Xenopus tropicalis: one gene and its partners. The protein of the gene in region 2 interacts with the protein of the main gene of each other region in a biochemical or structural test. Links are inferred from orthologs where the notes say so. Each region holds a gene or a part of one and is shown on either strand. Other genes may lie near its edges.

Evidence for each region.
Region 1: the proteins of faslg (region 2) and fyn form a complex in vitro, tested with the Homo sapiens proteins (4 studies listed by BioGRID and IntAct, with this or other methods). The link is inferred for Xenopus tropicalis from reciprocal best matches to the Homo sapiens genes FASLG and FYN.
Region 3: the proteins of faslg (region 2) and lyn form a complex in vitro, tested with the Homo sapiens proteins (2 studies listed by BioGRID, with this or other methods). The link is inferred for Xenopus tropicalis from reciprocal best matches to the Homo sapiens genes FASLG and LYN.

Annotation. Positions count from the first base shown.
Region 1 is NC_030681.2:76,824,629-76,835,841, forward strand, and holds part of fyn (tyrosine-protein kinase Fyn), read left to right. Parts: intron 1-639; coding exon 640-804; intron 805-1,143; coding exon of another isoform or gene 1,144-1,299; intron 1,300-2,849; coding exon 2,850-3,029; intron 3,030-4,531; coding exon 4,532-4,608; intron 4,609-4,766; coding exon 4,767-4,920; intron 4,921-10,093; coding exon 10,094-10,225; intron 10,226-11,213. UniProt on the Homo sapiens protein: Non-receptor tyrosine-protein kinase that plays a role in many biological processes including regulation of cell growth and survival, cell adhesion, integrin-mediated signaling, cytoskeletal remodeling, cell motility, immune response and axon guidance.
Region 2 is NC_030680.2:107,200,953-107,211,024, reverse strand, and holds faslg (tumor necrosis factor ligand superfamily member 6), read left to right. Parts: upstream 1-2,154; 5' UTR 2,155-2,218; coding exon 2,219-2,482; intron 2,483-3,844; coding exon 3,845-3,890; intron 3,891-4,243; coding exon 4,244-4,300; intron 4,301-5,032; coding exon 5,033-5,442; 3' UTR 5,443-6,813; downstream 6,814-10,072. UniProt on the Homo sapiens protein: Cytokine that binds to TNFRSF6/FAS, a receptor that transduces the apoptotic signal into cells. Involved in cytotoxic T-cell-mediated apoptosis, natural killer cell-mediated apoptosis and in T-cell development.
Region 3 is NC_030682.2:115,674,980-115,686,192, forward strand, and holds the end of lyn (tyrosine-protein kinase Lyn), read left to right. Parts: intron 1-425; coding exon 426-502; intron 503-4,191; exon of another isoform or gene 4,192-4,644; intron 4,645-5,958; exon of another isoform or gene 5,959-5,998; intron 5,999-6,325; coding exon 6,326-6,479; intron 6,480-8,511; coding exon 8,512-8,643; intron 8,644-8,884; coding exon 8,885-9,087; 3' UTR 9,088-10,225; downstream 10,226-11,213. UniProt on the Homo sapiens protein: Non-receptor tyrosine-protein kinase that transmits signals from cell surface receptors and plays an important role in the regulation of innate and adaptive immune responses, hematopoiesis, responses to growth factors and cytokines, integrin signaling, but also responses to DNA damage and genotoxic agents.

The DNA of each region.
Region 1 (11,213 bases), on a different chromosome or scaffold from region 2:
TTAATTTAGAATTTGCCATTGCTTAAAAAAATACTAGACATAATCTGCACAGTGCTTCCTTAAAAGTGAGTGTATTTCTAGGAATGAGGATGCAATTGGTTTTGTCTCCAGCACCTTCCTCAAAACATGGGTAACATCTTTATTGTTGAGAGGACAAAATACTTGGCTTTGAGAACTTTAAGCATATCTTTCACTCTTTTCTTTCTGCTTAACCCTGCAAGTGCTGTCTGCCACCTTAATAAAATGTCATATTGCTTCTGTTGTTGATATTATAGATCAGCGACATTATTTTAAAATTACAAATCCAAGAATGATTAATAGTCAATAGAGGCACCTTTCTTATTGTGCTAATTCGTGATCCCAACCAACCAGGCAGAACAATTGTCTTATCACAGACAGAAGCAAAAATTCAACAGATCATTCAATTGTATCTGACATATCTCTAATGCAAAACCACTGAGCCTTACAGGATGCTAAAGGGTTCCTCTCCACCCTTTTGTGAAATTGGCTCCGACTTTAAATATGCTCAGTTCTGCTTGTATGTGCTTTATCTTTTCTTTAGTGATGCTTAATCTTGCTTCATGTTTTCGTTTCAATTTTTTCCTGTCTTTTCTGCCTTCTTCTTTCAACTCTCATCAGAGAGAGCTGCAGGTCTTTGTTGCCGCTTGGTAGTACCATGTCATAAAGGAATGCCAAGACTTACAGACCTGTCTGTCAAAACCAAAGATGTTTGGGAAATACCAAGAGAATCACTCCAGTTGATCAAGAGACTGGGGAATGGGCAGTTTGGGGAAGTATGGATGGGTACGCAGTGAATATATTTTTATAAATCTAATAACCTGCTCTTGTGTGGAGCAATATGAGGAAAGATGGAAAGTGGGTGCAAACAAGAAGCAGGAAGTTTGTGATGTAGGTATTAATCCATGAAAACCACAATCCCCTTTCTTTAGCCTCCAGTGTGACCTGTTGAGGACTTTACTATGGCCAGAATATTAGAAGTTTTAAAAATATATAAAAACTGAGTTGTCTACTATAATGTGGCGTTGATAAATACTTTACACCAATCACCTTCCATCTTTCTTATTGCATGCTGTGGTTTGACATAAATGTATTTTGTTTTTTTATTAATTCCTTTTCCTATAGAGAAAGCTGATGGTTTGTGTTTTAATTTAACTCTGATTGCACCGAATTATACTCCACAAACTGTTGGACTGGCTAAGGATGCATGGGAGGTTGCACGGAATACAATATCTTTGGAGCAGAAGCTTGGTCAGGGCTGTTTCGCTGAAGTGTGGTTTGGTAAGGTGGACAATATTTCATGCTTAGGAGAAAACATTCTACTTTTTAAACAATATTATCTCTAAAAAAGTCACTTAGCATCAATGGCAAAGAGAAATTGTGCCAGAGATTATTAATCTCCAGGTTTCCACATAGGCTACAGTAGAGAATTTATGAAATTATTAAGTATAAAACATAGGGGCAGATTTATCAAAATGTGAGTTTAGAGCTTAATACATACAAACTCACCCACATTCTATTAATTCCTATGGGATTTTTAGATACTTATTCATCAATGGGTGAAAGTTAGAACCCACCGTTTGATAAATACATTTCTACAAATCCCATAGGAATGAACTGAACATGGGTGAGTTTTTATGTATTAAGCTCTAAACTCGCATTTTGATAAATCTGCCACATAAGGTGTTTATTATATTGACAATGGTGCATTATTAAATGGTAAGGTTATAGAAAACCATTAGTCCATCAAGTTTGGCATATCTTTTCATATATTTATATAATGGAGAGGTGTCTGTCTATATAACCATCTGTCATTATCTATGACACAAAGTTAGCAGTGAATTTCATTGATTCCAATCTGCTGTCTGGTTATCTAGCTAGCCATGGCAACCCAACAGTAGAACAGAAAACTGTGAATATAAAATAACAAAAATTAAAAATTAAGGCTACTTAAAAGCTGGCTTAGAATAATACTGTGTGCATCATATTAAAAGTTAATTTTAGGGTGAACAGACCCTTTCAGTATGTGTGTTTCATAAATTCCGTTAAATTTAACTGCAGACTGACAAATGGAAGGTGTCACTATAAATAACAGAAATCCATGCCTGAAACTAGGGGTACAGAGAATGTACATACTACATACATACATACATACATATAAGCATATATACACACTTCAGCAGAATTTGTTGGTGGTCAGATCCAAAAAGCTATGGATTCAGTGCATCCCTAAATAAAACCTAGCCACGGTTTCTGTATTCCTCTGTGATTGTGACCTTTACCATTGTGATTGTAGCATGTAATTACAATCCAAAACCAATTATCCTATTAACACTTTATTTCCACACTAACTTTCCTTTCTGAATGTAGTTTTAAATTTGCATTAACATTGGAAATAGGTGAGATTTTAGTGTGAGAATATTGTTTTTTTCTTTTCTTGGTGGGTGGGCTTTTTATTGCATGCAGCTTGCTTTTAAAGTGCATGAGTATTTGTGATTGCATGCCAAGCTCTGTGTGGGAAAGGAGGGGTCCATGCCAATGGTTATGAATTCATACCAGCAGGCCTTTAAAGTGGCAATAAATATCAAATAATTGGAAACACAGCTATCATTAAGTTTATTTTATTTAGTATATGCATCCTGTGGCATTGCTACAAAGGTAACAGGAGCTGCCTGTTAAAGGGCAAATATACCCCCACACAATTTCTTTATAGATTTTGCATAGCACTGGAGAATTGCCACCCTAGAGCCAATGGCATGGGTCCCTTCTTCCGTTCCTTCTAAATGCTAGCTGATGCTAATGTGCATATTCTTGGGTATGTTGTGTTGCAGGTACATGGAATGGAAACACAAAGGTGGCGATAAAGACACTGAAGCCAGGCACCATGTCTCCAGAATCTTTCTTAGAAGAAGCACAGATCATGAAGAAACTGAAGCATGATAAGCTTGTGCAGCTCTATGCTGTAGTGTCTGAGGAGCCCATTTATATTGTCACCGAGTACATGAGCAAAGGTCAGGATTCTAAAAGTCTCTTCTTAGATATAATACTTATTAATTAGTAAATTATGATCATATGATGTCAGACTGACATTACTGAAACACACAGATTGTATTGAACACATAATACCCATGACACCCCAGTTATTTCAACTGAACAAATACTTCCACTAAGCCTGCTTTATCTGTATCTTTAATGTTGTATGGTTAGAGATGACAATTTCTCCAGAGACCCAAATTTAAAGATAAGATGTAGAAGCAAAGTGAAATAACTGCCTCTTTAAAGCCCCCAGGAAGCCCCTGACATGCATAGGGGTATTAATGTGGGTTTCATTGCTCTCTTTGTGACGGGGAAGATGCATATCATCTACAAGTGCAGATGCATGCCTTGCAATATCTGGAAGTGCTTGACTAGCAGAAGTCTTCACTGTGCATGGCCTTCCTTTAGTGTAAATAGCCATTACACTGCATTACAGAAGTGTATATTTTCTGGTTGCTGCTGTTGGAATAGGCTCTCTTCTGCTAGTATTTACAAGACACATTCTGGTTCATGTAATGGATGGAACTATATAATAAGCGTTTAGGAGTAAGACCCACAGTGATGTATTTTTCTTCTGCATGCCAAGTGAGCCCTGCTCCTACAGCAGACACCTCAGGCACGTACGGTAAAGGGTTCTTTACCTGAGCATTTGGTGCGGAAGAGTAGTATGGGTAGTGTCACTTCATACCTGAACAGGATGCAGCAGATATCAGCTGCCTATCTGCACTAAAGGATGAGATTTTTGCTTGACAATATTATACCTTAAAGGAAAACTATACCCCAAAACAATGTAGATCTGTATAAAAATATACTTCTTAAAAAGATCATATATAAAACCCTGCTTCATCTAAATAAACATTTTCATAAAAATATACTTTTTAACCCCCCTTCCCTCCCCCCAACCCCCTATGCGACCCCAACTTTACTCTTTCTATCTTCCCCCCACATGTTTTATATGTAACCTACCTTGTTGTAAAACAAAAATTAAAAATAAAGTTTTAAAAAATAAATAAAAATATATATACTTTTTTAGTAGTATGTGCTGTTGGGTTATCCTAAATAGAAAATTGCCATTTTAAGAATGAAGGGCCGCCTCCTGGGATCATAGGATTCACAGTGCACACAAACAAGCCAAGGCACACTTACATGCTAGGCCCCATCAGCCAATTAATGGACAGAGTTCTGCCTTTTGCCTCCACACTTCCTCCTGTTACAGTGAGAGCTGCATTATTTCCGGTCATGTGATCTCTGAGGGAGCACACAGCCCATCACTAAATGGTGGATCAAGGGAAAGCATGTAAAAGGGCAATATTTACTGATATATATACATATATAGATATATACACAAGCCTTGGGGCTCCCCAAAGACAAATTCAGCTGTTGTTAGGGATATTCTTATATATCCTATTAATACATCTGGAATTTCTAATTTAAAAAAGTAATAAAGTTGGTTAATTTGAATATTGTTCTAATGCAGGTAGTTTACTAGATTTCCTAAAGGATGGAGAAGGAAGAGCCTTGAAGTTGCCAAATTTAGTAGACATGGCTGCCCAGGTACAGTAAAGTTTCATTATTAATTAAGGTCATCATTACTCAAACTGCAGTCTAAGCTTCATTAATCAACTCCATATTATTGAATTTATTTTTATTATTGCCTTTTTTTACTTACTGTTGCAAATTTATTTACTAATGTTTTCTATTTTTACTGACAGGTTGCTGCTGGCATGGCTTATATTGAGAGAATGAATTATATACACAGAGATTTGAGATCTGCAAATATTTTGGTTGGAAATGGCCTTATTTGCAAAATTGCTGATTTTGGCCTTGCTAGATTGATTGAAGACAATGAGTACACTGCAAGGCAAGGTATGAAAGCCATGATGATGTGCTTTTAAAGAATGGTAACAGGAACTTGGAAAGCAGTATGTAGATTCATTATCAATATGTATTACATATAAAAGCAATCGTACATAGAGTGATTTCAGGCACTTTGGTGCTGCCAGTAGCTTAGTCGTTGGCATATAATCATCCCCCCCCCCCAGTGCTTGTGTAAACAATTGTCAGGTAGCTGTCTCTTGTAAAATTGTCAATCTGCAAGATGCAAGACATTGCCCAAGCTTAATTGGCTTCCTTTAAAAACACACAAATAACACTTCCATGTTTTTTGAATGTAGTGGGAAGCTGTTGTAGCTTTCTATAATACATTACATCCTCCTATTATGGAGGAACTCAAAGATAAGGCTTGTCATAACTAGTAAGGTCATTTCTATACTGTACATCAGACCTACAGTCCAAACCAAGCACCATTCCTGCAGTCCACATTTTGGTTCCTGCCTGCACCATTGCTGTTTGGTTTCTGAATCGGGGCTGTTTAAAGGAGAAGGAAAGGCTAATAAAGTGTTAATTTCAAGCTGCAGGCATACTTTCAGTTCTCTCAATAGTGCCCTTAAGTCTCCCCATATTTTGCCTATTCAGCCTCATAGGAAAAAAGAACCCTGAGCTTTGTAAAAAAATTCCCATATTGCCACGCTCCTGCACCAAGACCATGACCTCTGTACATGCGTAGTTTGTAAGACTATGAGGAAGCTTCCTGCTGATTGGCTCAGATCCACATTCCTAAGGGCGGGGGGGGGGGGTTGTTAGCATTCTTATGGGAGAGAGGAGAGAGCTGTGCAGACTCTGGCACAGAAAAAAGTAGACAAGAAATCGTGTATTTCTTTTGATAGACAACTCAGTGCATTAAGTGCTATTTACATAGACCATTCTGATAAAGCTTACTTAGTTATTACCTTTTCTTCTCCTTTAAAGGAACAGTAACACCAAAAAATGAAAGTGTATAAAAGTAATTACAATATTATGTACTGTTGCCCTGCATTGCTACAGCTGGTGTGTTTGCCTCAGAAAGACTACTATAGTATATATAAGTAAGCTGCTGTGTAGCCATGGGGGCAGCCATTCAAGCTGGAAAAAAGGAGAAAAGGCACAGGTTACATAGCAGATAACTAGTAGATAAGCCCCATATAATGGGGGTTTATCTGTTATCTGCTAAGTAACCTGTGCCTTTTCTCCTTTGAATGGCTGCCCCCATGGCTACACAGCAGCTTACTTATATAAACTATAGTAGTCTTTCTGAGGCAAACACACCAGTTGTAGCAATGCAGGGCAACAGTACATAATATTGTAATTACTTTTATACACTTTCATTTTTTGGTGTTACTGTTCCTTTAAGGCTCTGGGCAAAGATCTTGTTGAATAGCAAAAAAATTGACCATGCCTACTTTGTGGCCACAACTTTAAAAACTATACCTATTTCACCAAAACATATCCCAGAAATGGATAATGAGCATATTAACCCCATCTGTTCCAGTTTAATCACTGTGTAGAAATGACCAATGAGCACTCCACACACGCCAGCAAGATCAGTAGATACAGTGCAAGCATTACATGCACTTGCTCAAGCAGAATACCAATAGCAAAGTTTTCTTCTTTTCTTGTGCTCCCACGCTGCTTGGCTTTCTCTCTCTGCCTGGCTTAAACACTTGTGAAAAAACCCAAGATGGCCATGCATTCCACAGTGCAATGAATTTCCTGAAGAGCAGGGAAGAACATTAACGCTGGGTGAGGAAGGCAGCAGCATAGGGGGGTAAAGCTGAGAAGGAGGGAAAAAAAGACATAGTGGCAAAAATATAACAGCTGCAAAAACATAAACATTCCAGCTGTTTAAAATCTCATCATATTTCATACAGTCGACATATTCTATATGGGTCACAGCACTAGCTTGTAAACTAGGGCAATGTATAAGAAAATAAATTGATTTTACATATAAAAGCTCTGGCTGCCAAAATTATGCCGAACTACAGTTGCCAAAATCCTCCGGTTACAGCTATTGATGTGTTCCTGGGGGCCTGTACCAGATCCCTGCTGTAAAGGGATATTTAAAATAGAAACCAGAGAGAGTTAGTGATGCTTCAAGTTCAGAATCCCTGTTGTATTGATATTTTCCTTGGATCAGCAGGTTCCCGAGAGCATAATTAAATGGCAAACAATTGCAGCTTTAGGGTGATACATTAAATGCATTTTTCTACATGCCTTTAGCATTAGGATGCTTTTATTGCTGATAAATAGGCCCCATGGTATGAAAGTGGTTAGGTGTGGTGTATTGCTTGATAAATATGTCTATAATCAATGCCTCAGCTCAGTTTGGGAGGTCCCAAGCATGAATATATACAGTGAGGAATGTAAGTATTTGAACACCCTGCGATTTTGCAAGTTCTCCCACTTGGAAATCATGGAAGGGTCTGAAATTCACATTGTAGGTGCATTCCCACTGTGAGAGACCGCATTTAAAAAAAAATTCAGCAAATCACATTGTATGATTTTTAAAGAATGTATTTGTATTGCACTGGTGCACATAAGTATTTGAACACCTGAGAAAATCAGTGTTAATATTTGGTACAGAAGCCTTTGTTTGCAATTACAGAGGCCAAACATTTCCTGTAGTTCTTGACCAGGTTTGCAGACACTGCAACAGGGATTTTGGCCCACTCCTCCACACAGATCTCCTCTAGATCTGTCAGGTTTCAGGGCTGTCGCTGAGCAACATGGAGTTTCAGCTCCCTCCACAGATTTTCTATGGATTTAGGTCTGGAGACTGGCTAGGCCACTCCAGAACCTTGATATGCCTCTTACGGTTATCCTGGCTGTGTGCTTCAGGTCATTGTCATGTTGGAAGACCCAGCCAGGACCCATCTTCAATGAGGGAGGGAAGGAGGTTGTTGCTCAAAATCTCACAATACATGGCCCCATTCATCCTCTCCTTAATACTGTGCAGTCGTCCTGTCCCCTTCACAGAAAAGCACCCCCAAAGCATGTTTTTACCACCCCCATGCTTCAGACCTACTGTGCAATGCATGATTTAAAAACCATGACGGCGTAGTGTTCTACTGACAGTGACCTTTAAACTGTGGTCCCAGCTCTCTTCCCAGCTCCTCCCTTGTAGTTCTAAGCTGATTCCACACCTTTCTTATCATCAGTGATACCCCACAAGGTGAGATCTTGCATGGAGCCCCAGTCCTAGGGAGACTGACAGTAGTCTTTTGCCTCTTCCATTTTCTAACAATTGCTCCAACAGTTGATCTATTTTCACCAAGCTGCTTGGCAATTGCCCTGTAGCCCTTTCCAGCCTTGTGGAGGTCCACAATTTTGTCTCTGGTGTCTTTTGACAGCTCTTTGGTCTAGTGGTATTAGTTGGAGTCTGACTGTGGGGTGGACAGGTGTCTTTAAAGAGCAGGTGCTACTAATTTAGATTAATGAGTGGAGTAGAGGTGGACTTTTTAAAGGCAGAGTAACAGGTCTTTGAGAGCCAGAATTCTTGCTGATTGCCAGGTGTTCAAATACTTATGTGCAGCAGTGCAATACAAATACATTCTTTAAAAATCATACAAGTGGTTTCTTGAATTTTTTTTTAAATGCTGTCTCTCACAGTGAGAATGCACCTACAATGTGAATTTCAGACCCCTCCATGATTTCCAAGTGGGAGAACTTGCAAAATCGCAGGGTGTTCAAATACGTATGTTCCTCACTGTATGTGTGACTAGGCAGAGAAAAAATGAGCTAATGTGCTTCAGTATGCTAGCTGCTAGTAATGCTATTGCAGATTTAAAAAAATAAATTTAATATAAGCTCTGGGTATATGCAGGTTATATTGTCTATTTGTAATAGGAATCTTTAAGATTAGTTCAAAGTCACAGAGCTCCTTTTTACATCCCTGTGAGGCATGAGGGGATGTTCTTAAAATTACATTTCTTGATAGATATAGCTCCACAGACTTATTAGATTGTAGCAAGGTCATATGGTATTCTTATGCCCTATGTTATTTCACATCACAGCCCATTAATATCCTTCACTAACAGGCCTGGACAGACAATCTGTGGGTTCTGGCAAATGTATGTATGTATGTATAACTCTATTTATAAAGCGCCACAAGGTTATGCAGAGCTATACAATCTTACAATATACAAAATTACATACAGGGAAGACAAGTATTATAATAAATACAATAAATAAATAAGTATAAATACACAGGGAGTAAGTGCCATGTAGTATGAGACACAGTAGGGAGGAGGTCCCTGCCCCGTAGAGCTTACAATCTAAGTGGTTGGGTAACATACAGGCACAAACTGGAAGGTAAGAGTGCACTAAGTATGGACATTTGCCATTAAGCGCAGGACTAGGCAAAATAATGTTTAAGTGCTCCAGAAGGTAACAGCTGAGCTTTATCTTAAAGAGAGTGGGTGAGTGTTCCCTACAGAGGGATTTAGGGATAGAGTTCTAGAGGTAAGGAGCAGCGAGATAGAAAGGTTTAAGACGAGAAAGCGCAGTGGGTGCCAGAGGGGCTGCTGTAAGATGCCTTAGACAGTCACTATTTATTGGGCCTATGGGGGCTGTTTGGGCCTCTGTGTACTTGAAATGCTGGGGTCTATTTTGAATGCCAGTCCAGACCAGTTCACTAAAGTCTTGCAGTGGACAGGAATTGTGTAGTCAAAGGAAAAATATACCCCCCTTATGTAAAGAAGGTGCATAAGCACTGTCTGAACATCAATTTACAATGGGACAAAGTAATATCCCTTCAGTGTGTGGCCTTCCAAACTGAAGTTTGTTGAAGGACAAACTGTCGAATGTGACTATTGTTGTACAACCTATATTTAAATAATTTGTCATTATTCATCCTACATGTTTATTGCAAAACTTCAATAAAATGTTTTAAAAAAACAAACAAACAAACAAACAAACAAACTGAAGTTTGGATTCGAAAACTGTTGGTCACCATATTGCCATTCTGATATATGAATCTTTATTTGATTCTGGTTGAGGCTTTATCAAATAATCATATATTTATGCTGCAATTGGAACTATTATTAATGGTAAATATGATAAATGACTTAACTGTTAGTTTATTTTAGAATACTCCTCCTGGAGTCTGTTGAAGATTACAACTACAAATGGCGTAATTGTCATTTTCTTATTTTTTTCTCTACAGGTGCAAAGTTTCCCATAAAATGGACAGCTCCTGAAGCAGCACTCTATGGAAGGTTCACAATAAAGTCAGATGTGTGGTCATTTGGAATTTTACTGACAGAGCTTGTTACAAAGGGAAGAGTTCCCTATCCAGGTAAGTGGCTGCCTGCTATTAAGGATAGTGGTATATCTAGCCTTATCAGGAATTATATATTCTGCTATCTTGGAATAATGCAAAACAAGGGGCAGATTTATCAGATGCGAGATTAGAGCTCCCCACAAAAAAAATTCACCCACTTTCTGTTCATTCCTATAGGATTTTTAAATGGTGAACTCTAACTTTTACCCATTGATAAATACACTTCTAAAAATCCCATAGGAATGAATAGAAAGTGGGTGTATTTTTTGTGGTGTGCTTTAATCTCACATCTGATAAATCTGCTTTGCAGTGAAACATTTGTTCTCATTTAGATGGCAATGACCAGAAGCAAGAGGGGATAATATATGTAGCTCACATAGTTAGGACTGATGCAAGAGGGGATAATATACGTAGCTCACATAGTTAGGACTGATGCAAGGACACTGCTTTGATCATATGTTATACAAACTGTGTCTCTTTTTTTTTTCTTTTTACTATGCAGACACTTTTTTTAAGTTGTATAGTTGAGTGCTAATGCAATATGTATATATATCCATGCATTTATGACTCCAGGGGGGCACAAGTGTAAAAGCACTACAGGGCACAAGAGTGCATCTACTTGTTCCCCCCATCCACACTTGGCACTATGGGCCAAAAATGTATCCACTGATAAACCCTGGGCATAAGTGATCTTTCACTTCTGTCCACTGTGTCTGTAAATGACCACTGTAATGAAAAATGATGTAGGCTTGCGTACCACAGCATACTCAGTGGGACTGAAAAGAGGAACTTTTTACTAGAATAAATCAGAATTATGTGTTTATTGTTTTGAACTAGGAAAAGTCTCTGGTGAGGTGTAATTAGTGCAGAAGTCATAGTTTAGAAAAGGCCTTGACACTTTGGGGTCATCTTCTGCTGTATATGGTGTACAGTAGAAACTGAAAGTGCGGGTAGGCCAAAGGGTGTAATTGAGATCAGCTCAACAGATCAAAGGCAATGTAAC
Region 2 (10,072 bases):
TACATAGAAAAATAAGTGGCCATCAGACTGGCTTTGCATTTACAAATGCTGGATATATTAAATATAATTTATTTATGGATTACTCTTCTTTTTTTTCTCAAGACTGGCCGCCGTTTATATTACAGGGTCTATTTATAGATGTGTATTGAAAGTATAATTTCCTATTCCCGGTTTTGAAGACCAGCTACCATGGCTCATGCTATTTTGCCTATGATTCATGTCCTCTGCATAAGCTATTGGCTTCCTTTTATAACACGCTACTGTGGCTTATTAATCCCTTAACCACAGCCTACATACTTCTTTTTCAACTCTTTTACACTGAGGGCCCATTTAATAAGAGAAGGCAATGCCATTTTTCACATAATTAAATTGTCATTTAAGAGAATTTGTCAGCCAGACATATATGGGCCACACCATTTTAGCAACAGTGCAATTCTCCATAACCCCACAGCGGGACACCTAGATTATTAGGATCTCTGTATATGGCATGTTGAAGTGTTTAATCCAAGAGCCATTTAACTGAAGTGTTGCCTTTTTTTACCATTACCCGTCTCCTTCTCTTGGGTTTTTCTCTTTATCTTCTCTATCTCCTATTTTGTAGCAGTGTTTGTGACCACGTGTCCTGTATTCTGCAAGGGTCCCGTCACCATTTCCTCCCACTGCAGCAGCAGCAGCAGCTATCTAAGCTGTGTTTCTTTCTTGCCCCCTTATTATGTTTTTGGTATTATATTGTTAACTGTTGTTTAATGAGCTTTAGTAGATCTTTCATAAATATAAACCACTGTGCTAAAACCTACTGTACTTTTTATTTTGGTTTGCTTTATTAGGGCCCTTTGACCTTTATGGGCCATAGTTTGTTATGCTCCCAGGGATACCTGGTGCTACCCTGGGTTGGTGCAGGCTCAGTACCGGGATTTTTCTGACTTTACTGTATTATGCATGTCAACTGTCAACCTAGGGATCCCTGGAAGAATGAAATAAGATGGTAACTGTCATATAAAGGAGTAATTTTAGAGGAGTCCTTTAAGTGCCATGACTATGGACTGAGCATTGTCTTGCTTTGCCTCTGCTTAGCTGAGTAAGTGACCATTTTCATCATATCATATATGCTGTGACTGTAATGTATTTTTTTTTTTCAGACACAACTGGCTTTTAACTGTACTTTTTATTGTCATTCTCTAGAAGGGACAAGTTGTAGCTATGAAGGAAGCCACATAAGGTCCATTTTCATAGCGGATAACTAAAGACTACAGCAGCCCCTCTTGTATACCTTTGGTATAAATAGATTGAGCATTGGGCTATACAAAACCTACTGAGACACCAGCATGACTCAGGGATGCTTTGGCCATCAGGCTAGGTAAACAGCAAGGAACAGCTAATAGCTACCATGGAACACTTGTAACTTTAAGATCCAATGCCTCTTTCAAACAGACTGACAATGCTTCTAACTACTGAAAAGCATTATAATCTCCAGCAGTAGCAAGAGGCAAACCTCCAGTCAGGAATGGCTACCTTCCGTCCAACATATGTACCTACCAGGCCCTCCACAGTGGCAATGGGGAGTTATTTGTGGTTAGGCATTGGGCTAACACTTGACAGCTGGGCTCTGCCCCCTTAGGCAGCAGAATTGCCCAGAATGCACCTGTTATTATTACCAAGTCATATACAGTTATATACATATTAACTTATTGAGTAGCAAAATCACACCCACTTCAGAAAGAGATTTGTCCTGAGAACATGGTGGTTTGTTTTATATTCACTGTAAAATATCACTTTGGTTGCACAGTGGGCTGAGAGTAGACCGGTGCTTGGCATATAGAAACTACTTGCAGAGGTCCTCGGCTTATAGAAACAGTTAACCGTGACCCTTTGTGCAATGTCAACCCCAACATTCCTTTTTAAAACCTTTACTATATTTTTTAAAAATACTATGATTTATTAAAAGCACCCTGATCCCTATGCTTTGCTAGTCCATACACTCTCTGAATGACCAAGTAAGAGAATGCTGTAGCATTTTGAATCACACTCTGTTCCACTTTTGAACTATGAAGAGAGGAAGAAAGGGGGTGGAAGAGGGTGGTGTGAATTAGCAGCTAGAATCTATAAATGTACTTACACATGAAACAACCACAGTTTTTTCCTTCAGCAGCTAAAACTACAGCACAATACAAAGACATCAGCAGCACATTACGTTGATTTCAGATTGACAAATCCCATTATGCAGCAAGATATGAGATACGCACAGCCTTCAGTTTTTTGGACGGATCCATGTAGAACCCCACCATTGCCACCATTGCCACCAAACCAAGTCAATATGCCTCTACCACCCCCATTCCCGGACTTCAGGAGAAAACGACGTAAAGATGGCACTTGTACTTACTTGCTGATCATGTTCCTTCTGATTTTGCTAGCACTTTTTGGTGTTGGTCTTGGCACCTATAAAATCATCGAGTTGCAAAAGGAACTGGACAACGTTAAGGAGGTACATAACATATTAATTTTAGATTTTTTCTTTATTTTAACCTAACCAACCTAAGTAACTTGCCAGTGTTTTATCTGGCAGCATAGAAAAGCTTTATAATGATATTTCTGACCAAGCTAGGGTTGCTCATTGGTGGCCCTTAAACAGTGATCCAATGCAGACAAATTTCTGGTGGTTCCTCTGTATGCACAGAAAGCTGATTGACTCCGCTGTCCCAGTGTCATGGTTATCTGCTGTACTTCATGGCAGGGCTTTCAGTGGAAGGGCATAAATTACTTGAAAAACCTTTGGTTCTCTCCACATCACCATTTAAAAATGATGGTACCCTTAAATTTGTCATAGAAATAATAATGCAGCTTGGTTTTACAATAAGATATTTTTCAATAATATCACTATAATAGTTTAGTGGTCTATAGAATTCCATTAATTCATGAGAATAGGAAAACTGTGATTACTTTTTTTTATATAATTAACAAATCCCTGGGCAAGTACAGGCATGGGACCCATTATCCAGAATGCTTGGGACCTGGGGTTTTCCGGATAAGGGGTCTTTCCGTAATTCGGATCTCCTACCTTAAATTTGCTAACAAAAAAAAAATTAAACTGTAGTTAAACCCACTAGGATTGTTTTGGCTCCAATAAGGATTAATTATATGTTAGTTGGGATCAAGTACAAGGTACTGTTTTATTATTACAGAGAAAAAAAATAATTTTTAAAAATGTGAATTATTTGATTAAAATGGAGTCTATGGGAAATGGCCTTTCCTTAATTCAGAACTTTCTGGATAATGGGTTTCTGGATAAGGGGTCTGATACCTGTACCTATGTACAGAATTTAAAAAACTTTAACTCCACTTCTTCTAAATGGTGCATTGAGGGATTTTAAAAATGTGCTTGTTCTAGAGCTAAAAAATTAGCTGTGTCGTGGATTGGTTTATATGTGGTATATATTAAAGTAACCATGAACTAAGAAAACCAATGCACCACCTTACTCCTGCTACTGTGTTTCTGTCTATCCAATTGCTTTGGAGGTGCACAGGACGAAGACAGGACCAAAGGTGTTTCTTGCTGCAATTAAAAAGCATATTTTTGGAGAGTATCCAATAGGAGGAGCTCCTGCTCCATGAAACTACTTTTTTCCCCAGACACACTGACATTAAAGCAGTTGGAATATCCATCACTGTTTCCTTTGAGCCCAAGCTTCACCCCTTGTCTAGTAATAGAAAAGAAAGCAACTTAGCAGCTGGAAATAAATAGTATAGTAGATAATGATTTCCATAGTTGCAGTTCATATGCAGATTTCATAAAGCTGATAATGATTTTTGGAAATGCAAATAATCTCCACAAACTTTTTCTTTCTAGATTTCTGGTGACCAGGCATTACCTCCTGCTTTGGAAAAATTAATTGGTGAGTTACAATATGTTTCTCTATAAAATAAAAGTGTGGCATATGCTATTTAGCAGAGTTTATATGGGAGTAAGTTCTAGAAGTGTTCTCCTTTAGCTGCTGCATTTGGTGAGCAACACTTGACGGTTACTTTGAGGTTGTGAAGTACTAATTTCTATTTCTTGCCTATGGCCAATGCAGGCAATTCATTTAACCAGTGTTGGAATGCTTGGTGCTACATCTAATAACTGTGAGCCTTCCTGCAACATCAACAACAATTGGCCTTGGTCTACCTAGCATTTCTCTCACTTTGCACTTTGTGCTTAGGTTAGGACCATACTGGAAAATCAATTGAATGTTTGCTCTTTTTACAGGGTTGAACAAACACCCAACTGAGAAAAAAGAAAGTAGACTTGCTGCACATGTAACAGGTAGGTAATCATATGTGTTTTTAATGCATGAAGTATGGATTCTTAACTTACAAACCCTTGGACATAATAACTACACATGGTACCAGCCCAAGACCTCTGAGGGCCTTTCCCAGCTACTTTGCTGGGAACTCTTCAGTTGCATGTTACATCCTAATATGCAGTAGCACTCTTGCCTGTTGAAAAGGTTCTTCTGAAGTGGGAATAGAGGGGTAGGGGAATATGGTACTGGGTTCTTACAGGCTCAGGTACAACACTGTTGCAACATTGTCTACAGTCGCAGGTAGACTGGGCTTAATCTACAACTGTTTAACGGTGTTATTCAACATAAGCTCAAGAAATAAGGCTTGGCCAATTTTACCTTATAAATATATACTTTCTTGGTTCTGTCCAGTAAGGAGTAGGAAGTAAAGGAGTAGGTAGTAAAATAGATTACCAGTCCTCAGTAGAGGAGTAGGTAGTAAAACAGATTACCAGTCTATCTTTGCATAGAAAGATTATACAAACAAAGGCTGCAGATTAGTTATAGCTTCTGCCACACATGGCGGATTCTTGGCCTTCAGATAAACAAGGTTTATAATATTAAAAATAAGGAACATGGATTTTTAAAAAAAAAATAAATTTAAAACTAAACAGAAGTCCTATATATTATACTGATTCCGAGGGAGGATGTATATAGGTGTGTACTGCCCCATTACCATATATATTATTATTATTTTAAAAATACCTTTTCAGGTAAAGAAGGTAAAGAAGGTAAAGAAGGACCCACTTTGCCATTAGCATGGGAAGAAACATTTGGACGCGCTTTTACCTCTGGCATCCAGTACAAAAACAGAGGTCTAGTGGTGAACCAGACTGGCCTGTACTTCCTTTATTCATCTATTTACTTCAGAAGCACTTCCTGCCAGAGTAAAGAATTGTCCCATACTGTCTACAAGAAGTCCAAGAGGTACCCTGGAGAGCTCATACTGATGCAAAATACAGAGTATCAATACTGCACCTCCAATAACAAATGGGGAAGGCACAGTTACCTTGGCTCTCTGTTTAACTTCACCACGGATGAAACAATCTATGTCAATGTCTCTGATGTTAAACTTGTCGGTTTTGATGAATCCAGGACATTCTTCGGGCTTTACAAACTCTGACAATGTTGGAGTGCTCAAAGGAATTATAACTTACCTTAATACAATGGACAGTGTTGAATGTTAAAATTGAAAACAAGCTATATGAATATGACCTGCTCATAATATGTAACTGTTATACAGTGTGATCATTTTCCAGAATTCTGCAACCAACAATGATACCAACTGACATCAGTGTTGTAATACATGTAGATCTCAATGAGAAAGTCAGTTCCATTATTTCTCACTGTAGCATCCCTGACTTTTTAAACACGGTACGTGCTTTGACATAAACATGCAGGGCTTGTTCAAATACAAATGAATATGGCTTTCCAACCAAATTTACCCATCATGAATTATTTTCACTAAAAGTCCTCAAAGTCCACATTGATACAATATTACATATTGCCAACTCATATCCTGGATGCAATTACACTTCACTATACAAAACCTTTTCAAGCACAGAAATGGCCAAATATTATGTTAAAGAACCACTATTTGTATGTTTAATGGCAAACATGCCAATGATCATGCTTGTTGCTTATAGCAGTCCAAAAGTACAGAGGATGACCGGACAGAAAGAGAACTGAAAGCATTAAACACCTTGTACAAGAGAAGAACATGTATTACTCAAAAGGAAACAGAATGTACAGCAGAGATAGGAAAGTGCGGGATTCTGTTTAAAAGAATATGCGCGGCCGCAGAGTTCCTGCCCAACCACTCTCAAGTCATCAAGTCAAGTGAGATGTATGAAATGAGAATATGAGAGCTCCAGTTTGATTTGCTTGTGTTATGTGGGCAATACATTACAATGGAATTAACCAGCCCTAGAAATGATTACGTTGTTCCCAATGTAGCATGGTATCAGTATCAGTCACTGTTGAATTCTAAAGGTTTCTGAAGTAAAGCAGGCTATGTTAACTAAACAGGGCTAGATGTACTGTTTAAATGACACTAACAGGTGTCCCTTATTGTAAATATATAGATATATAATTTACTAGACTATTTATTTAAGATGTACTCCATGTAGTAGCCTGCTATATTATGATGAATATAAAAGTGAAAATACAAATTTAAATTGTGTGCTAATTAGTATGATTGTTCATGTGATACTGTAAACTGATTACTTTACTGGACATCAACATTTTCTGGGTTAAATTAATTCATGTTAATAAAATCTAACTTTGGGGTTAAGAAGAGTTAGTTTGTTCATCAATTTCTAACATTACTGGTGCTTTCAGGTATAGCTTTCCTTATCCAAAATGTATATTTAAACAGCCTGGACACTTTTTTATTTCTATATATTTTTTGTTTATGTTAGTTACAATGAATACACCCACAGATATTTATTAGGTATACTTGGCTATACAAATATCAGTTTTTGGCAAGAATAAACTCCTTATAAAAACAAGCCTTTTCTTTATTACATAGGGGTGAATTAGATGAGCATAGCTTTCTGTGTGTACTTTAAATTTATTATCTATTTAATGTTATATTTATGAGTAGCTAATATCATACTGCTTACCAGTGATGGTTAATAATAAGACTCATGCCTCGTTTCTATAAAAAAATAGGTATAGAATTGCTCCCATTAGCTTGCCATACAAAAAAGGGGGGCATTTACCAAAATTCACATTTTATTTGTTTTAACAAATCATGTTTTTTGCACTAAACCTTGAAACCATGAAAACCGCCATCTAGAAACTATCAACGTCATGTACAAGTCAGTAGGCAGCTGTCCTGTTTCCAATTGGAAGAGCTTCTTTTGCTTTGTGGTATTAGAGGTTTTGGGATTTTTCAGATTTTCCATTATTGAAAAAACATGAAAAATTTGTGGTTTTCATGTGTTTTTTTTGTTTGTGCTTTTTTTTTATAAGGCTGTTTTAATAACTGATTTATTGTTTTAATTGTGGTTTGAAAAAAACACAAAAATTTGAATTTGGACAAATGGCCCTCCCCTATTTATTAAATTGTGCAGTTTTAATTTTGCAGTGATTCATGTAATTTATGGTAAAAAATTGTGACTGGGAAATTTATCTCAGAAAGTTTTAGGTGGAAAAAATGCAATAATTTTACTACCAACTTAGGTAGCAATGCGCAAAAATTGAGTAAATTGTTCTCTAAAATGAAAGCGTAGAGCAAGCAATCATTTTGCTTTCATTTCTGGTTGGTTACTGGTTGTACAACTGATGATTCCAAATATTGTACTGCTAAAAATAAGGACAGAGAAAGACACAATTAAAATGAAACATATGTTTGTGGCCTTTTTTCACATAAAATGGTTAATTCATTGCCCCCCCCCCCCAAAAGACTAAATCACAAACTCTTTGCTGATATTTTGTGTGAAATGCCCTTTTAGTTTGCAGTAAGGATACACTGATTCTAGGATTAGGTTTGGGATGTGGCTAAATCCTAGCACTGTTTGCAGGTGTTCAGTCAACCCAGGACTGAATGTAACAATTCTTGTTTTTAATTGATGACATTTTTAAAAATGTAATGAGATTTGAATATGATAATCAGGGTTCCCATTTATTTATGTATTTGTCTGAATTTCTTTGTGCAGAATATCATCCAAATTTAAAACTGATGGTTTAGATGCATCCTAGCTTTCAGTTTAATACATTCCCACAGTTGCTTAGTTATATAAAACTGCAAGATTTCCAAGATGTTCCAGGTGATTTCATTCCTGCTTTAATCTATGTCTGTGTATGACTTTCCTCTGGTAACACTTGAGCTAATGTCAGATGGAGAGATTTAGTTGTCCGTGTTAGACCTCTGCTACCTCAGGCAACTAATCTCTCCAAAATACTTTCCACCAGCAACAAAGGGAATCAACGGTGAGAGGCCTACGCATCACTTTTTTGACCCTGGTTTTCCAAATTTGCGCAAAGTTGCCTGCGGGAGGGCGTAAACTTACCTACTGGGTTTTAAATCAGATCCTTTGTGAACTAGGGGTGGGTTCCCAGTGGGTAGGTGTGAACAGATCAAGACAGCACAGAATCTAGTAGAATCATGAGCCTGTTAGAAATCCTTCCCCCAGTATATAATATAAGCAATTTGTTAATATAATGTTGGTTTTTACAAAAAAATTGCCATAATGCTGTTCCTGAAACTTTCTAAACTGAAACAAGTGAAGATAAGTGCAGGTGAAACTTAAACTTAAAAAAGACAGGGCTAAAGACAAATGATGGATAGAATCTAAATAACTGAAGAATTATGGATAGAATCTAAATAACTGGTCAGGGCAGGGAACTCTTGCTGAGTAAAAAGTTTACTGCTTGCAGTTTTCAAATATAATCACTGCAAGTAAATCTACGCAAGCATGATAATATATTTATGTCAATTTGACCACTGGAGGCAACTGGAGTACGTGGATTCACAATAAATGGGTGCTACGATGAGAAACAGTATGGCAGCTTCCAATGTTATAACCGCATAAAAAAGAATGCATGAAAAAATAAAGTGTAATTAAATCCTATTTCCCTTTAAAACCCACCTTCTTATTGTATATGTCCCAAACTCCTTGCACCAAAAGCATGTCTGTGGCACATTAGAGCCATGGTCTAAAACATCCCATCATTTTATTTTAAAAATGCTGTGAGGAAATGCTATTTTCCCAAGCTAGAATGTGTAGTGAAGGCTATACAAGGGTCTGAGCAACTTCTAGCATATAGTTGCAGAATAATGTTACTGAAGCACAATTTACGTACCACTGTACCACCTCTGTACCACCATGATTTACTTGCATTAGTGCTTACAGGTCTATATTTTTGCTTTTAGCAGATAGGATGATTAGATAGGAGTTTAATTATTTGTTGAAATGCAACTAATATAATATAATATCAAGCAGAAGTAATTAGGTTAGCTTAATCAATGCTTGTGTTGCAAGTTCAGTCGGTCGTCCCTGCACGCAATGTACTAAGGATGTGGTCATCAGGACCTTTACATTACGCATTCTGAGAGCAAATATAGCATTTCCTTCCTTTGTACAAACCTTTCCATTACTAATAAAATACCTTTATATAATTTCTTCTAAAGACACCAAAAAGTTATGTATTTTATGTAATATGTTATGTAATTTAGTAACAAAGAGCAGTAGAGATATGTTCTCTCTGTCTATTTTAATAGATATTGCTAATATTTAAGGGAGATGCATGTTTACTAGGACAGTGAATATTGTCAAATAGATGTGCAGTATATGCATTAAAATTATACATTTCTAGGGGATTTCCTTCACTCTTTAAATTCTCAAGCCTAATTCTCACTAGTGACAAACTCATTTTTAACCAATTTTATAACCAAGTTTATAAGCTGATACAGGATCCCTGAATGGCAACGACGAGGCTCGAGGAAGTTACGCTTTGCATTGTTTATTTTTTTATAACAGGGAAAAACATGTCATTGCGTTCCTCCCGTTGTGGGCTACAGCACACATTAACCAATATGTAAGCTAGTTGAGAAATAATGAGAGCAGTAGATCCCACCAGCTGCACAGCTAATTCTGAGTTACTGGGTTATACTTATTACTATGTTATACTGTGCAGAACTTATTTTCAGTGACAGATAAGGAGTGGTAATCCTTGGGCTGCTGCCCCCTGCCCTTACCTCACCTGTGTTGGAATGGATCAAGGGGAGGTCTCATCCCTACACTAAA
Region 3 (11,213 bases), on a different chromosome or scaffold from region 2:
AGCCCCTATATGTATGAAAAAGCATTAAGGTGCAGTAACCCATAGTAACCAATAAGATGTTTGATTTTAAACAGGTGGCCAGTAAATGTTAAATTCTATGGGTTATTGGACCTGTGCAAAATTGCTTGTCTTTTATTACATAAAACTATAAATGCGCGAGACCTACAACTGCTAATTGTAAATTGGTTGTTTTTGAGTTAATGGACTGCGGACACTGATGTTTCTCTTATTCCTTTAAAATAATATGCCCAGATAATGGACCCTTACAAGACTATAGTTAGTTGTCAAAGCAATTTGCAGCTCTTTTCTCACCTTTTTTATGGAAACACAGTGCAAGTGAAATATGCCCCCTCTTTAGAAGCAAACTGAAGTCATTATGATTTGGGACCTAATGCTTTAACAGTCTTGTGAATTTTTGTTAACAGGGAGTCTTCTAGATTTTCTGAAGAGCGACGAAGGGGCCAAAGTAATCCTTCCTAAATTAATTGACTTCTCTGCTCAGGTAAATCCTGTTTTCAGAAATTTGGGGTGGGGGGGGGAGGGAGTCATGAGTAACCAGCAGCATGAGGGGTGGGCTGGCTGCACGTTGGGCCTTGGGCACCAGTAGGACTTGCCCCAGCACTGGAAATACAAGTACTCCATGTATTAGAGCTTTTGGAAATTAAATGGCCTACTTTCTGATATTCTGTTTATAAGTTTGTTGTATGCCTCAGTAGAGGTGGTGGGTCTTTGTAATGACAATTATTTGATGTTTGCGGTTTCTGGAGGGCATTGTGGGAAAGACAAATTAGTTTATACTAAACATGGCATCCACTCTTCTCCAATATCCTCAACTGAAACCAAAAGTCAAACCTACCCATATGGAAATACTGGTGGGAGTTATAAACTTCTTTGTGACCCCAGAATGACTGTTAGTTAGATCCTTGGATCACTTTCTACTCATTATTTAATATTGGTAAAAACACATCCAAGCCATTATTGAACCTTTTATCACTATGTTTCTTGGCATGGTATTTCTTCCCTTGGCTGCTTATACAGTACAAAAACACCTTTCCATCATTTAATCAATATTCTCTACCTCCTAGCTAGGAAATCTTTGTTAAGACATTATTTTGGCCTTGAATATATTTGTGGGTGTTGAATATATCCAATTTAAATCATGTATTTCCTAGAATAAAAACATCAGTTCATAAAGGCTTTTCTTTAAGGCTGAATTAATGAGGTTGCCCTTCACCATGTTATTTTTCATAATGTGGTGGTCGGAAACTCTGTACATAAGACCTGCAGTGAGCAGGCATTAAAGGAAAACTATACCCCCAGAATGAATATGTAACCAACAGATAGTTTATATTATGTTAAGTGGCTATTAAAGAATTTCACCAAACTGGAATATATATATCAGTAAATATTGCCCTTTTACCTTTTTTCCCTTAATACACCATTTAGTGATGGGCTGTGTGCTCCCTCAGAGATCACCTGACAGGAAGTAACTGTAACAGGAAGTAGTGTGAAAGCAAAAGTCAGAACTCTGTTCATTAATTGGCTGATGTGACCTAGCATGTATGTGTGCCTTGGCTTGTTTGTGGGCACTGTGAATCCTATGATCCCGGGGGAGGGGGCGGCCCTTAATTCTTAAAATGTCAGTTTTCTATTTAGGAGAAACCATTAACACATACTACTAAAAAGGTATATTTTTATGAAAATGGTTTATTTAGATGAAGCGGGGTTTTACATATGAGTGTGTTTATGCAATATATTTTTATAGAGACCTACATTGTTTGGGGGTATAGTTTTCTTTTAAGTATAAGGGCCCAGAGCACCTATGTCCTTTTAATGTTATATCACATGGAAGGGGCTTGTAAAAGAACACATAGGTCCATCCCATGTGCTGCTCCTTTACTATGCAACACTTGAATGAATTTAGAATGTATTGTGTGCTTCATTTTCATAAGAATATGTTTTAAAGGGAATAGGTTTTCAAGGGATCATGGAGACACACCACAGGCTGCATGGAGAACTGTTTTGGGCTTTAGCCCATCTGTATGCTGCACTCTAGGGGGTATATTTATCATGCTGTGTAAAAAGCATTACCGGTGATGTTGCCTCATTTTAAAAGGAGTAGGTTTCAGTGTATTAGAGGGATCATAGGGTCACACCCCAGGCAGCATGGGGACCTATTTTTGGTGCTAGCCCGTAGCATGCCTAATGTTAAAGTTAAGACTATAGAGTAACTTGAAATTTAACAGTAAGTAATTTAACATTTGTGTACATTTTGAGTTGAGAATTCTGTGAAATGTACCACTGATGTTTTTTTTCAATTGAATTCCCATTGTCAGCTATAGGGAGCAGCAAGGGTCATTTGGGGTGTTTAAATACAGCTTTTTTAAGGAAAATGCTTTGAGACCAATGACCAAAAAAAAGCTGCATGTGTGATCCTTGCCCAACTCACCTGCAGCTTGCTCTTGGGTTCAACAGTAACCCTAAGGAAGGCTATTTTTAGATGACCTTTCATGACTACGTGTGTTCATATACAGTATATGTAATATACATAACCATCAACTAAAACAAAAAAGCTGTTGACACAAACAACTATAATCTGCATTACATGAACTGCTTCCAATCTTTTGCCAATAATTTAAGTAAAATCCTTAGAAAAAAAATAGTTTGTATTCACTGCCAGTGAGTAATTGTACAGTGTATGCTCTCGTGAAGAGTGCTATTGTTTTGGGTTATCACCAACTGTTTATACATAATGGAACAAGGTGCGCACACAATGGGCTCACTGTTGCCTTTACTTACTGTAAATAGGAAATAAGGGAAAGAGAGCAACACAAATGCAAACATAACGTTCATATGTAGAAACAAAGGCCAACATTTAGCAATGACAAGTATTTTACAATGAAGAATTAAATATTTGAACATATATATTCTGTTGTAGAATGTCTTCTGTTTGTTGTTTGGTAATGCATTCTTGGCATTTAACCTAATTGCACTAAATTACATGATGTTTTAAAACATAAAAGTGAAATGCTCAGCACCACATGTCAGTAAACTCACCAAATAGACCAAAATCCTGCATCTTTACTAGGGCACATGACTTTAATTAAATTGTATAGTCTAGTGCTGCCCAACTTCTGTGGTACCAAGGGATTGAATTTATTTTGGCCTACATGGTGGAGGACCGGTAATGGAGGCCAGGTTTCTTGTTTTTTTTTTTAACCACACCTTCGTCAAACCACATCCATGTTATCACAAGAGCTTTTAAGACTATAGCCAAATTAAAGGTGGTAACACACATAAATACACCCAAATAATTGCAGGGATATCCCACAGGCAGCACAGTATAGGGCAGGCAGAATATGGCACACGCAGGCAGAGTATGGCACACACAGGCAGCATAGGGCAGGTAGAGTATGGCACACACAGGAAGCATAGAGCAGGCAGAGTATGGCACACACAGGCAGCATAGGGCAGGCAGAGTATGGCACACACAGGCAGCATAGGGCAGGTAGAGTATGGCACACACAGGAAGCATAGGGCAGGCAGAGTATGGCACACACAGGCATCATAGGGCAGGCAGAGTATGGCACACATAGGCAGCATAGGGCAGGCAGAGTATGGCACACACAGGCAGCATAGGGCAGGCAGAGTATGGCACACATAGGCAGCATAGGGCAGGCAGAGTATGGCAAACACAGGCATCATAGGGCAGGCAGAGTATGGCACACACAGGCATCATAGGGCAGGCAGAGTATGGTACACACAGGCATCATAGGGCAGGCAGAGTATGGTACACACAGGCAGCATAGGGCAAGCAGAATATGACACAGGCATGCTTGAGAAGGAGACAGGGAGACCTATCAAGACTATGCACTTTACAGGTGTGAACAATACAGTGGGTGTGAACAGTGAAGGAATTTACAGCCTTAATCTAAGGTGTGAACAATGCAGGAAGGCAGTTAATACTGATACCATTTAAACATACACAAAGGTAAGCAGTCACAGCAGCCAGACAGATGGGGGGGGGGGCACAAAAGGGGGGGCTACAATAGTCCATTACTGACCAAACTGCATGATGGTCTGTGCACATGTAGCCTCCTCTTAAAGCAATGAATTTGGCCCAGGAACCTTTAGGTTTACTATATACTGTATTTGTTATATGTACATGAAGAAGGACCAGAACTTCAAACATATTATTCATCAGGATTTATTGCATAATATAGTTTTAATGTTTTACTGTAATTATTAAATGAGTTCCATATCCACATATGAAAATGGCTACTCCTAGCAGCTAAATGGACAGACCAGGTTATCTACAAACTTTCAGCCAGATTTGACAGTACAGGCAGCCACCAGATCAAATGGCAGAGGCCCAGTAAGCATTTGGCATCAGTGGGTTTTCCCTCATGAATTTTCCAGCATGTTCGGTAGGACCTCCTTGGTTCTGCATATGTATACATGGGCAGCTGTTGGCCACTATAGTCAAAGGATGACTAAAGACAAAAGATGGCTAACAATATCTGCCGTGTGTAGAGCTTCAGAGTTCAGAGTTATTCTTTGTGGGCTGAACATGATGGACGCCTTTCAGGTTAAGCAGAATAAGATACTTTGTGCATCTGAGAAAGAAGCAGTGAAGGGGTATATCTGAAAATAAGCAGATGACAAGTTAGGGAGAGGAAGCATATGTTAGACTGAATAATACTAGAAAATATATAGTAGGTCAGAGTTTTAATTGGTTAACTAAGCTTTTGGGGCTACTTAGGCCCCTGCTTCAGGTACGGTAGTCACACCTGCCATTGTTTTCCAAGTTGATTATCAGTGCCTTGAGTTTTGTTATATCTGCTCCTGGGTGCCCCACACACACCATCAGCTCAGAGTGAATAACCTATTACATCAATCTATAAATAAATAAATCCTTATACGGGTATGGGACCTATTATCCAGAATGCTTGGGACCTGAGGTTTTCCGGATAAGGGATCTTTCCGTAATTTAGATCTCCATACCTTAAGTCAGATAAAAATTATTTAAATATTGAATAAACACATTAGGATTGTTTTGCCTCCAATAAGAATTAATTATATCTTAGCTGGAATCAAGTACAAGGTACAGGTATTGGATCCCTTATCTGGAAACCCATTATGCAGAAAGTTCTGAATTACGGGCAGTTCATCTTCGATAGACTCCATTACAAGCAAATAATCCTATTTTTTCTTTTTAAAATTTCCTTTTTGTCTGTAATAATAAAACAGAACCTTTTATTTGATCCCAACTAAAATATAATTCATCCTTATTGGAGGAAAAAACCTATTGGGTTTAATTAATGTTAAAATGATTTTTTGGTAGACGTTAGGCATTGTGATCCAAATTATGGGAAGACCGCATATCTGGAAAACCCCAGGTCCTGAGCATTCTGGATAACAGGTCCCATACCTGTATTTATTGCTGTTCAAGGGCTATGGCTCATGGGGCGTTTCACCAAGCAAAAAACATAGGTAGCACTCCCACTGTCTTATGGGGGTACCCCTGTCTCCATATATGTATGTATTATTTAGTAGAAGAGTAAATTATCTTGGACTTAAATGGTTTTTTGCTGTTAATTCACTGGGAATGTAGATAATCAGTGAGCAACAGGATTTTGGTTTTACTGGGGAGCTTGTTTGTATAATGGGTTTAACTGAAATATACATTTTAGCTATGGTTTCCTCTTCACTGCACACATTCTGGTGTCATATTCAACCTGTTTTTCCAGCTATCTGTACAACAGTGGTATTAGCCACGGCTCAGATTTCCTCGTTTTACATTGTATTGAAACCTTTAAAGAGATTTGCACATTGTCATGGCAGCCAGATTAACACCTTCTTACAAATATTGTACATTTAGTTTTACGAATCATGCACAAGAACTTTTCATTTCAGTTTAGCAGATGCTAAAGTATTAAGTGCTATTCTGATACCTACCGGGAGCTGCTATCTTGCTCCCTTCCCATTGTTCTGCTGATCGGCTGCTGGGAGGGGGGTGATATCGCTCCATCTTGCAACTCAGCAGTAAAGTGTGAATGAAGTTTATCAGAGCACAGGTCACATGGCTGTGGCACCCTGGGAAATGAAGAATATGGCTAGCACCATGTGACATTTCAAAATTAAACATAGCAAAAACAGTTTGCACTTTAAATTCAGGATTCTGCTAGAGAAGCTCTATTAACTGATGTGTTTTGAAAAAAAACATGTTTTCCCATGACAGTGTTCCTTTAAATTCCAAAAGATTAATGGCTTCTATGACTGGCTCCTATAGGTACTCTTAACCACCTAATAATCTCTCCCACAGATTGCTGAAGGCATGGCTTATATAGAAAAAAAGAACTACATCCACCGAGATCTGAGAGCCGCTAATGTGCTTGTTTCAGAATCCTTAATGTGCAAAATTGCTGACTTTGGTCTTGCCCGAGTAATTGAAGATAATGAGTACACTGCAAGGGAAGGTATGTGCTCTGCTTTTAATGTGCTGTAAAACAGACAAATGGTAAGATCTGTTCCAGCAATCGAGGGCTCTGTTTTATTACCCTAACAAATTGCTTCCATTATTTACAATAAGATAGTGCCAGGTTGCTAACAGATACTAAGGATGCCTATAATATTAAACTGTGACTCCCTAAAAAAGTGATTGCCTGGCTCACAATATTTATAACTGTTGTAAATAGGAAGCATAGTGATCTGCAAAATCATGTGATACTCAGCTGTGTGGCAATAAAAGGGGTAAAGAGTCTCAGTTCATGGCATTAAATGTGTGTGGTAAAATACCCTTGTGCACATACGGTGGTGCTTGAATGTTTGTGAACCCTTTCATATTTTATATTATGTGACCTAAAACATCATTTTATTTTCAAACAAATCCTAAAACTAAATAAAGAAAACCTAGTGAAACAAATTAAACAAAAATTATTATGCCTTTTCTTTCATTTGATCAACTAGGTTTATTTCATCTCATATTATGACTTTGAAAATCGGATGATGTTTTAGGTCACATTCATATAAAAATATAGAACATTTGAAAGGGTTCACAAACTTTCGATAAGTGCATTATATATATATATATATTGGAGGGTAGGCACTCACGTATAAGTAGAATACTTCGCCTGGGTGCAGTGTGGAAATATGTATAATCACCATCTGAAAAATCTCACACTCCTCAAGACTTAATAATATCCACAGCAAATTTTATTGAGGGAAACTGACGTTTCGGTCCCACTAGCGGTCCTCACTAACGAGTGAAAGTATATATCATATATATGAACAGAGAGGAGCACACACTTCACAAAACCTGGGTGCAGGTAAAACATAAAATATAAAGAAAGGTACTGCACACACAGGGACTTTTTATGTGGTGGGGGGGTATTTAATGTGGCTGTTGGGACATAGTCTGTTGGTTTGTCCCTGAGGAAGAGCACAGACCATGCTTGAAATGTTGGATTTTTTTCAATGAACACTTTTTTTCTTTGCATTAAGTCCCTGTGTGTGCAGTACCCTTTCTTGATATATATATAATGCAGATGCAGACTGACATCTCATGGCAGCACAGAAACCAGGGGATTCTGCTAAGACATACAGTATATAACCTGCTAATGCTTTAAAGATTTCCAACAACACAAAAGTTGAGATTCTCAGCAGCAGCCCAGATCTTACTGAGTGCTTTAGTTCACTTATAAGTAAATAGTTTCCATGCAAACTTTATTCATATCAGTGCTCAGGCTCTGTTTGTCAGTCCGTGCCTTTATTAGGGGTGGGGAGGCTAATGGAGTTGCTCTTGTGTGACAGCTATTGCAGAGAAACAATAAGAAAACTCCCTTTCACCTTCCCTAGAACTCCAGGAAGGAATATGCCCTGTAAGAGTGAATAGAACATGAAACTGTCTCTCACTCACTCTTGGGCTCATTTCTAAGGGAAACCACACCTTGGCACCTTTACAAGGCCGATGCGGCTAAGGTAGTGCTCTGCAGTTCTGTCATATAAAGCTGTTGGAGGCCCCCCTATATTGACTACTGGAAAATCCAGAATGACTATACTATTACATTGCTTACATGTACCCTATTCAGTTGGGCGGTTAACGCTTACAAAGCATTACAGGGTGCCATAGAATGAATAATTCAGTTTGTCTGTTAGCTGAACAAACACAGCTCTTTGTGTAAATCAAAGTCAGTAAGGCCATGTTGGCTAACTTACTGTTTATAAAGGGTGAAGTCACCAACATGGAGCAGAATAAAGGGCAACTACTTACAAACCGTTAAAAAAACAAGGCAAATTATAGTGAAATGTAACCCACCTGTGCTGTTAGATAATTGGAAACATCCTGTTTATTGTCCATCTAAATGCACAATATAAGCCAACAGTATGTCCCTTACACTATAGCAGCTTTAGATTTAAAATGTGCTCTACCTGTTATTTAGATCTCATGTCTCTATATCACCCATGCTGTTATTACTGATCGTGACCATCACCTCTTTTTTTTTTTCTAAGGTGCTAAGTTCCCTATCAAATGGACTGCGCCAGAGGCAATTAATTTCGGTTCATTTACAATAAAATCTGATGTGTGGTCTTTTGGCGTTCTGTTGTATGAAATAATAACCACTGGAAAGATCCCTTATCCAGGTAAAGGAAACTCTTTTTTTAATATATTTGTCGATTTCGAGGAGGGACGGTTCATGCCAGCCCCACTGAAGATTTTTTTGTGGAGGGGCCAAACACTTTCAAGGTATGCTACTGGCCATACCAAACAAAGGTTGGTATTTAAGAAGTTGTGAAGAGGCAACATACAGAGATAATTTAGTAAGGATGTTAGTTGAGCTGTGTGCAAAGCAAAGCACCTAATGGTTTTCTTCTGGCTCTGCAGGAATGAGCAATTCAGATGTGATGACCGCCCTGCAGCGAGGCTACCGTATGCCCCGCATGGAAAACTGTCCCGTAGAACTGTATGACATCATGAAAGAGTGCTGGAAGGAGAAGGCAGAGGAACGGCCAACATTTGATTATTTACAAAGCGTTCTGGATGATTTCTACACAGCAACAGAGGCACAATATCAACAGCAGCCTTAGAGCAGGACACACATTTCCTTGTTATTGTACAGGGAAACAGACTGAACTGGTTATTGCGTTCCTTTTTGTCTCTTACAGCCTGGAAAGTCTGAACATGTTGAAAAGATGGAATAACACATTCCCGTCCCCTTCACATCATGGCCCACTTACTGTGTAGCTTCTCTGTGTATGTTCCTTATGCAGTGCTGGTGCCGAAATCCCAAGCGCTCGGAAATAAACAGGCATCACAGAGCACCATATTGTACATGTGTGGAGTTTGTCCTACACAGCTGCTTCTTTACATCATTCCCACAGGGCTGACGGAATCTGCCCATGCCAGTTTGTATAGTGCCATGGCACATTCTTGCTTATACCAGAAATCTCACACCCCCAAATGCCGTGCAATTTTGGTTCACCATAGTAGATGAATGCAAACGGTAGTATTTATTAAACTCTGTGTCACATGAAGCTGTTTAACAAAACTGTAGGGAGTGAAAGGTTGGATTGCAGAGACGCTGTTTAGTATTTTTGAACATTTTACTTAATGTTCATTCACAGAAAAAAATAGCTTTACAGATTTTCATCATATTTATATGTAGCCACTGATTTAGAGTAAGGTTGTGTGAAAAATCTGTTATAAATGTTATGACAAGCATGTAAAACCTGCAGACCTCCAGCTGCTGTGGACTATAACTGCTGTTATTGGAAAGCTGTGGACTAGCAGAGACTCATGGGAATCATAGGCCACAACACCTGAAGAGCTGCGAGTTGGACATTCTCTGTAAAGAAGGGGCCAAACTCTATTGTTTGTTCATCATGGACGGGTCATTAACATTATACCTTGTTACCAAAATGTGTTCATTGACAACAGTTCTGTGATTCTTTAGCATAATAATGGTTTTATCCAACTCAGACTGAGACGGTAAGCGAAAGTGAAAAAAAAAGAATGTGAGATATTTGTACTATGATCTTAGGGCTAAACTCAATGGGAGCTTTTGTCAGATGGAGTTGGATTGACAGAACGCATCTTACAAGTCGGATGTAGTTGCATGGATCAAAATATAATGGAACTGATACAAAAATCTGATGTGTAAACTACATGAAAGGATTATGATCTGACACGTAAGAAGGGAACGCTGATGGTGTCTGACACACTTTTTCATTGAAAACAAATCAATGAAGAAGCGGAGCACTGGATAACTTATATATAAAACCACATTTATTTCCATCAGTTAAAAACAGAGCAGAGCATCCTCACCTCATGGCTTGAGGTGAGGATGCTCTGCTCTGTTTTTAACTGATGGAAATAAATATGTGGTTTTATATATAAGTTATCCAGTGCTCCGCTTCTTCATTAATTTGCTTTGGATATTCTGGCCTTATTGGGGGCGGCACGAAGCGTGGCAGCACGGAAAAGTACTTACAGTTGGCTATCCTGGTGAGTGCTCCCCCCCTTTTCCTTATCTGCACACTTTTTCATTGAAATACATAGACTGTGGATGTAGGTGCAGGAACAAAACACTCCATCCCACTTTATCTCATCCAACTTTACATTACAGTCTATAGAGATCAGGTTTTGATGCATCCTACAAAATTTGTGCTGTTGCATGACAAGATCAGATCAAATATGACCCCAAAAAATCTGCTAAAAATCTCCCTTGGAGTTTAGCCCTGAAGCTTCGTGCCCTTTTCCTAAGCAACAACATTAGATATGTCATAATAAATATAGTTTGTAATCTGTTTATATATTTTGTATATTTGTGTAGAATTTACTGCCCCTAAATGGAAACAAAGAGGTTTAGGGACATGAAGGCATTAGATGTTTTCCCCAGTCCAACAACCAACTTTTACTGTGCAGTTAAAATAATACAAATGAACTGCTGATTGATAATTAGTTTAGCCTAAACTAAATGGAAACAGATGATTTAACCACATAAAAAGTAGGCTGTACCCTTAAGCTGGCCATACACTGGCCAATTTCCACTGCAGATATTGGTCCTTTAACCGATTTGGCAGCTTATTTGCCCGTGTGGGCACCACCAACGGGCCTCCCCGACCAACATCTGGCCTGGAATTGCCCAGATCTCTTATAGTGTAGGGTGCTGAGTGCCGTCGGCTCCCCTGCACAGCCTGGGAAAGGAGCCAGC